Saccharomyces cerevisiae S288C: one gene and its partner. The gene in region 2 interacts genetically with the main gene of each other region. Each region holds a gene or a part of one and is shown on either strand. Other genes may lie near its edges.

Region 1 (4,157 bases), on a different chromosome or scaffold from region 2:
GCTGGCCTACAATGATACCTTTGTACCTGAGCAGTTACTTGTGGTGTATGACTTACGATACTATATACGCACACCAGGATAAAAAGTTTGACATCAAGGCTGGAATCAAGTCTACCGCTTTGGCTTGGGGTCCACGCACAAAGTCTATCATGAAGGCCATGTCCGCGTCTCAAATCGCACTGTTAGCTGTCGCCGGCTTGAACAGTGGGTTGTTATGGGGGCCTGGGTTCATTGGTGGACTAGGAGTCTTCGCTTATAGACTCTTCAGCATGATAAAGAAAGTGGATCTTGACAATCCTAAAAACTGCTGGAAGTATTTTAATGCAAATATCAACACCGGACTTTACTTTACGTACGCCTTGGCAGTCGACTACATCTTGAGACTGTTTGGATTCTTGTAGATATAGCGTGCATATACAAGTGTTTAATTGTTCTTTTATTCGATTATTATTTACATGCATTCTTACGTAGATGTCCGTACCTATTTGGGCTTCACGATATTCTTGATGGATGATCTAGAATTCCCCGAGTGAAATAGGGTCTTGGCAGACGTATGTGAAAGGATCTGAGTTAATATTGACCTGTTCAATAGCTTATTTTCTGCCACACTGTTGAAAAAGCAGTCCAAGATCCTGGCGTCATTCTTCACAACGCTACCAGATCTCGAGAAAATGTAAAATTTATTGAAAAATGAGGGTGCTTTTTCATCCACTGTGAAGAAAACAAAGGTGGCCTTATCCTCCATACCTTGAGAACCTACTCCTGTGAAGATCTTGGTGGCCTTATTTTTAGACAGTTCATTGATCTCCCTCGTGATAGAAACTGGTCTTCCTAACAAGTAAGTGCGTCGAGTCAATTGACACCGTGGCACCGTACTATTCTTGAGCGGTGGCAGATATTTCATTTCTGTGACTAGTCTTGACGTTACGTGTTTCGTGGCAGCAGCGAGGATCACAGGCAAAACCCCTAAAGCCACAGGCCCAAAAGTTTTGCACTTGAACCACGGGCTGTGTTTTTCTTCCTCAGTAGCGTTTCCGTACACTTCTCGAGCAGTTCTCCACGACATATCAGTGTATGCAGCGCCATATGTGAGAAACACTACAGCTAGAGCAGTTGAAGCCCATCGTATCGACCGTGGTACCTTATACTGGAACACAGGCTTTTTTCCTCCGTTACGTCCGACTTCTTCGATTAGCTGCGCTAGTGTGAAGCTGCTTCCTTTGAACTGATTCTTGGCAGCCATGTTTGTCATACCCTAGTCCACATAAGATAACTAAATGCACCTTCTTATGTTATAATGTAGCTAAAATGAGAGATGATGATCTTTATTGTTCTCGAATTTCAGCGCGGGTAACGCAACCTCAAAAAGTTTTCCACAAGTGTCCTATTGCGTAATATCAAGAATATTCATTACTGAAAATGATGAACCTTGAAGGTATTTTTGTTACTAAGAGAGAAAAAGTGAATATTTAGTGACTTGTGAGCGAGATTATAGAATAGGGAAAGAGCTATGGAGACGCCGCAAATGAACGCTATACAAGAGGAGGACAATTTGTCTCCGGAAGTTGCTTTCCAGACTCCTAAATTGAATGATTCCGATGCTTCATCGTTTTCTTTGTCCAATATGAACGCTGTCGGGAATGTAGACGGTATACCATCCCAAAACAGGACATTTTTTGCATCACCTAGGCCCAGTTCCCTATTTTATTCTGCCAAGGAAGGTAACAATTCCAGTTCTAGTATCATCTACAATCCTTCGTTCACTTTTGGTGAAAACGCTTCTAGTAATGCTAATATCAATGAAGCTGCTTTGATGAAGGGAAAAGGCAACGAAGGACGAAGGCAATCACTCAAATATATACCAGCACCAAAGCTGGTGCCGCCTCCTCCCAGAACAAGATCACCGGTAAGAGGCATTTCCCCCGATGCTGGCAGCAGTAAGAGGTCTTCTATGACCTTGGATTCTCCCTTTAATTTTACGACATCAACGCTGCAACCGCATCAACAGACACCACCCTCTTCAGCTGCATCAAGGACCTCATTTCGTAAGGGGCATCGTTATAAGCATTCCTCTGTATCCATGAATTTTTTTCAAGAGCCTGAGGTGAAAATTCCTTTGAACATTGCCAAATCTCTTCCCATTCCAGATTTCAATGATTTGCTGTCAAATTTGCCATGGCCAAAGGCTTATATTCAGTTATCTATTGCCGCTCTACAAATCTTTGCATGTCTGATTACTTTCCAAGTCGGACACCTGTACTCATGGAGTAATTTTATTACACTATCGCATTTTATTACTTACGATATCATCGGTTCGCTGGTAATCATATTTGTGGAAAATTTGTCTCAGTTCCAGGTATGGTTTACAGGCACTATCACATTTCCATTCGGGTTAAATAGAATAGACGTTCTACTAAGTTTTGCGCTTGCCGTTTCGTTATGCTTTGTTGGGCTGGACCTTTTATTCCATATAATTGAAGAATTCATAGTCCTCTTTGTAGAATCTGGTAGTTCTTTGACGAATAACCATGATCACGATGAAATTAATGAGCAAATTCCTCATTCCCACATTGCCAATGCCAATGATTCACAAAACGAGAATATTACCTTATGGTATAGCATACTAATGATCAATTTAGTGTTATCGACGTTATCACTTTATAAGACGTTTTATGCTAACAAATACAGTAATTTAAAGACGAAGAACCCGATTATTACCATCACTTATACAGCATACCTATTCATTTATCCCCTACTATTGGATCTGTTATCGAGTATATCCGATTACCTTGCTACTTTGGTTATTTCGAGTTTAATTCTATGGCATGGGCTGACTATAGCACGGTGGACCTCGACAGTGTTACTAATGGGATTTTCCACCACATCTTTATCCAATTCAGCGTTATTCAATAATAATGACAGCACTGATACGACCGCCCATACTCAACAAGTCGAGTCTAAAGCTGCTAAAGAAAAACCATCTGTACGACCAAGATCAATGAGCTCACTACCTATAGCAACAAAGAATACAAAGATACGGAAAACTGGGTTTTTGAATTCTGCAGGTTTCACTGAAAATCCAACAACCATTAAGAACATGATCAAGGACCAAATCGAGAGATTAAGTGAGTTTAAATCCAGATACATCCTAAATTACGATGATATAGTAATAAGCAAAGTGAATTTTACGCTTTATGTGGTACTGATCAAGATAACAATGAAAGGAGGCTCCGACGATGACGAATTGATGTTAAGGTTAGCCATTGACAAGTGCATTCAAACGAGCATTCCAACGTGTGAAACTACAATAGACATAGACCGAATATAATTTTACAGTTACATACCCATCAATACATACATATTAATATTACTATACTCAGGAGTTATTAGAATGAGACTAAAAAAAAAAATGTTTGAATGTTATAAATGAATGGATGCGAAGGTGGAAAGTGAGAAATTAAGCTTGTGCGGTGTTATTGTGATAGTTTTTCAAACTTTCTAGAGACGAAGTATATAGTTCAGAATCAGATTCCAATAGGGTAAAATCGAGTTCTAATGGCTGGACAGATTTACCGTCTCTATCTAGATCTTTGTTTAAGTCATCGAAAAACGTTCTTTCACCTCTACCTACTAGTAAGTTATAAGCGGAACCAAGTTCGTTAGCTCTTGCTGTTCTACCAACACGATGGACATATTGTTGAGAAGACATTGGTGGGTCATAGTTTATTACTTGAGTGATATCGTTAATATCAATACCACGGGACATGATATCGGTAGTAATTAAGATGGTAATGCCTGCGCTTTCCGAGTGATGCGAGAAGTTCGCAACAATTTTTTTATTTTCTGCTTTGGAGTTGTTTGAATTGACAGAATTAATACTCACCGCCAAATTTTGAAGGTTTTTCAATACGCTGGATTGTGAGCGAGATTCACAGATAAGTTGTAGTAACTTGCTTAATCTGATAGACGATTCATTTGATTTAACGAAAATCAAAATCTTTGCAGCAATGGGGGAATGTGCCATAAATTGGCATATTGAATACAACAATATCAATGGCTTGTAAACACTTTTCGCCGTGGGAATGTTGATGTTAAATTCATTCAATTTGTTAGGTAGCTGGTACAATTTATCGGTTTGCTTCAGGAACAACTTTGGT
Region 2 (4,446 bases):
TTTTAGGCGGAGAGATTCTTTTAGTTAAGTCTTTTGCAAGAATTCATGAGACAAACTTGAAGAAACAAGGTGTGTTGCCATTGACTTTTGCCAACGAATCTGACTATGATAAAATATCAAGCGGAGATGTTTTAGAAACGTTGAACCTAGTTGACATGATTGCTAAGGATGGTAATAACGGTGGTGAAATTGATGTTAAAATTACTAAACCAAACGGTGAATCGTTCACCATCAAGGCAAAACATACTATGTCTAAAGATCAAATCGATTTTTTCAAAGCTGGTTCAGCAATCAATTATATTGGTAATATACGAAGAAACGAATAAATTCTGAAGAGATATTAGCTAAAAATTAAGAGTCCGATTTAATAGTCATAAGCTAGTTTACACAATTCTATAGACTCTGCATATAGACGGTGCAAATAACCTACCTATTTATTTATTTATTTACTATAAAAAACGTAATATTGTTTGATATATAATATTATACACGAGATCTCGACTGCTTCAACTACGGCTTAACTCAAGGGTGGGGGGTATTTTGTTGTCGTATATGCAATATGTATGTGTTAAAAAGATACAATTATGTAAGTTACCACCTTTGTTTCATTTCATTCATTACTTGTAAACCTTGTAAACGTTCTTCGTACAATGCAGCTAGCCTGCTAACCTTGTTGCTTGCTTTAATATCTGAATATCCCTTTTGAGAGAATTTATCTGCTGTCTTTGAAGTAGTTTCATTTTTCTTCTTCTTTTCTTGTAGTTCTTTGTCGAACTTCTTAATCTTCGCGTTTTGGACGAGGGTTAAACTTTCAAACTGTTGTACGAATATATCTGTTTCCACAGAATTTTTATCCTTTGCTGGCTCGTCCTTAACCATTTCTTTGATATTATCTGATATCGTTAAATCGGTGCTGCTGTTACTCAATGGAAGCGAGTCTGCTGATGGAGTCTTCGTCGGTGAGGATAATGTATCTGTAGAAGAAGAAGCTAATGCCAAATCTGTATTAGAATTGGAAGTTAGAGACAGTTGTGGTCGTGTAACTGCCTTAATAGGAAGTGGAGGTTTGGCATTGAATGATGGGGATGAAACATTTCTGCTTGAAGACTTAGGTTTCAAGACTGGTGTATTTTGTAATGCGACAGGTGTGTACGTTGGAGACGTAACAGATCTTTGTGGACTAGGGCTTCGACTTCTAGGAAGGGTTAAGCAGCCTAGTTCACTGTATCTGGTTGGCGACGACTTCCTTGGCTTAGGCAAAACAGGGATAGTAGAAGACGATGATACGGATGAAGGAGGTGATGATATTTCCTTCGCGATTTCGGGGAAAAAGTCCAGTAAATTTTTAATATATCTCGACCCAATAGCTAAACGATCATTAGTCATCATGGAAAGTTTTTCCTTACATAACGCCGGAGTTAAAGCTTTACTTAGGGTCCTTGAATCATGTTTAGTCGATTCACCATGCGCTATGATCCTATTAAAAAAAGGAATTATGACCATAAAGAGGTCCTGGTATTGGTTGAATTTAATAATTTTGCGGAATGTTTCACTTGTGAACTTTAGATCATCAACAATTGGTAACGGAATTAATTCAATTGGGATTAGAGGTTTGGCTTTATTCTTAATGAAGTAATTCAACCACACGGATGCCAAAGAATAAATATCCCATTGAGATAAATCAATGTAGTTGTTTCTTTTGATAATATCCAAAAAAATGTTTACCTTTTTATAGTTTCCCGGCTTCTGGAATATCAATTCACACAACAGAGCGTCATTCTGTAATTTCTTGAAAATTTTATCGAATACTAACTGCCTATACTGTCTTATTGCCAGAGGGGTCAATCTGTTATAATATTCCTCCGGGACATTTATATGTTCGCGTATCTGGTAATCATATAAGTACACGTTCAACGATATTCTAAGTCGCGTAATATCTATTAGCTCGGATAAAGAAGTCAGGTCCAAGACATGAACTAAACTTGGAAAATCATGCTGACTATCTTTTGAGTCCAAGAAGTTAAAGTTCATAGCGTTTGAAATTACTTGATAGACCGACCTAACGAAGAATGACTCATGAACAATAAAAATCTTTTGTAAATAGAACTTGGTCTCTTTGGGTAACTTTGCAAACATTTTAATACCGTAAACCCAGCTTATTTTTCTCTGGGAAAACCCAGATGAAAAAATCACCAGTGAATATGGTGCCTGTGGCAATTTCATTACCAATCGATCCATGAGGGCATTAATAAGCAAGTCATAAACTTGCTTATCGCCAATTTCATCAGATGCTGGCAAATAAGTCGAATCAAAGACATAAATTGCGTGACCAGAGTTAGGATCAACTGAATAAGATCTAAAAAATATGTTATTAACGTTGATATCTATCATCCTGGCCTTCTTTCACGCTACCAATAGTATTATCCAGTAGGGCCATATCCTCGAGAATTTCACTTTCTATATACAAAATAACATCAACATGAAAAAACGCCAAAATACGTACGCCGTTAATAGTGATACATGTGCTCAATTACGGTGCATCATCAACCTTTACATACTTCTAGCTAACTTTGATTTTCATGAGGCTTATTTTTTACTTTTCTTTAACCTTGTCTCTCCCACAGCTCTAATTTTACGCTTTTTGCCCTTACTATCTCCTCCTTTTTGCTTACCTTGGTCGGATACTATCTTTTCTTCTTCATTTGTCGGCTTGATACTATCGAATAACTTAATACCAGTTTGTACTCTTCGCAGCCTCATCTGTTCTAAATCTAGAGAGCCTTCGAAGATTTCTGTGTCTTCAGGGATAGAAAATTTTGCCACTTGAGTAAATTTATCCCATGGAATGGCTGCAAATTGTATTTTGCACAACTCTACGAGCTTATCATGTTCCCGGTCTTTATCTTTCTCAAATTCCCAATACTGTGTTCTCTCAAAACAATTATCTAAAATGGTTCTCTTACTTTTCTTGATTTCTTGACCAGTAAAAGAATATACTCGCTTGTACTGGGCGACAAAATCAGTGAATGTCTTATGTAGCGGATGTGAGCTGTTCATAAAGTTTAATCTGGCTTCACCATCCTTTGAAATCATCTGTTCAACAATACTTTTATCCTTTGCATAGTAGCGTGCTGTCAATTTGATTACTTCCATGTCTCTTCGGGATATTCCAGTATCATATTGAGAGAACAGAAAATCCGGCGGCCTTGCTATCTCTCGCTCACTCTTTCTGTCATTATCTTCACCGCTGACAGTGTCTGTTGGCTCATTCATGAGTTTGGTGTAGTATTCATGGAGTGGGTCATCTTTCTTGATGAATGAGAATCTCTCATCTTCTAGCAGTTTGTTCTCAAACTCAACACCATGCTGCTTTATGTAATTTACTGTGGTTTTAATGTCCTCTTTCAGCTGGGTATCTTCTGGTTCCATTTATACAACTGCAAATTATTGCTGTTAGTTTTACGCTTTACCTTATTTCTTCCTGTATTTAAGTGTTTCAAGGCTAACTTTTGCCGAAATATTTCGTTGAAGGAAGGTTCTTATTTTATCAAAAAATGGTCAACAGACAAACAATAGAAAAACCAAAAGAAAACAAAAGCTTTTGAGGAAATCGGTAAAATGGATGATCTGCTAAAAGTTCCCGAGATTGTAACCAATATTGCCTCATATTTATCTACTGTAGATTATCTGAGTTTTCAACAAGTGAATAAACGGGTTTATGCAATCATTAACGGCAAAAATGATTCAAAGTATTGGTCATTGAAATTGACTAGAATGGGTCTCCAACAGGTGCATTCAAATGAAGAAGAAGAAATTACGTTGCTGGATGAAAATGATAATCAAAATTCCCTTCGCATCTTCGAAATATACAAATCTTTCACTGCTCAAAATTCTAAAAAAATCTTTGTGAAATTTTACCGTTGTTATAACTCATACGCTAGGAAGCTATATAATAATAATCTAGCAAATTTCTTTCCTACTTCATATTCCAACGATCCGTTGAAACAAACAAGAATTCTAAATTTTATCAAAAAGTACAATTTCTCGAATAAAAATGATATAGAAACATTTACTAGGATTGAAACTAATTTCAACATTCTTAGGGAAATCTTCATTAATTCTGTTCTCAAAGAGTCAGAATTGAATTACCAGTCTAATAATTTAGCTGCCGTCGCTCGTTTCATGAAAATTTTATTGATATCTAATGAGGAAAGCAATGCTATCGAATTTTTCAAGTCAAAGGCTGATTTGCCTCCCAGTTTAACGGTTTTGCCGTCTAATGATGAATTATTTTGGGCCGAACAACCAAGGGAAGAGGACAGCGGTGGGAGTACCGTGATATTTAATTCTAAAAATTTAGATACGTTTCTCAATCAGCTAAGGGATTTCCTCAACGAAAAGATTAAATTAGCGGACATTTTATTCAAAGATGAGTTCCCTGTAATA

What was found.
Region 1: mutations in ECM25 (region 2) and ZRG17 together harm fitness more than expected from each alone (negative genetic interaction), as found in Saccharomyces cerevisiae (2 studies listed by BioGRID).

What each region holds. Positions count from the first base shown.
Region 1 is NC_001146.8:696,785-700,941, reverse strand, and holds ZRG17 (Zn(2+) transporter ZRG17), read left to right. Parts: upstream 1-1,510; coding exon 1,511-3,328; downstream 3,329-4,157. Other genes in the region: COQ2 (4-hydroxybenzoate octaprenyltransferase), read left to right, coding at 1-401; MRX15 (Mrx15p), read right to left, coding at 482-1,252; putative ATP-dependent RNA helicase DBP6, read right to left, coding at 3,458-4,157.
Region 2 is NC_001142.9:52,324-56,769, reverse strand, and holds ECM25 (Ecm25p), read right to left. Parts: upstream 2,392-4,446; coding exon 592-2,391; downstream 1-591. Other genes in the region: aconitate hydratase ACO2, read left to right, coding at 1-326; PRP21 (Prp21p), read right to left, coding at 2,587-3,429; RCY1 (Rcy1p), read left to right, coding at 3,619-4,446. UniProt on the Saccharomyces cerevisiae protein: May be involved in cell wall organization and biogenesis.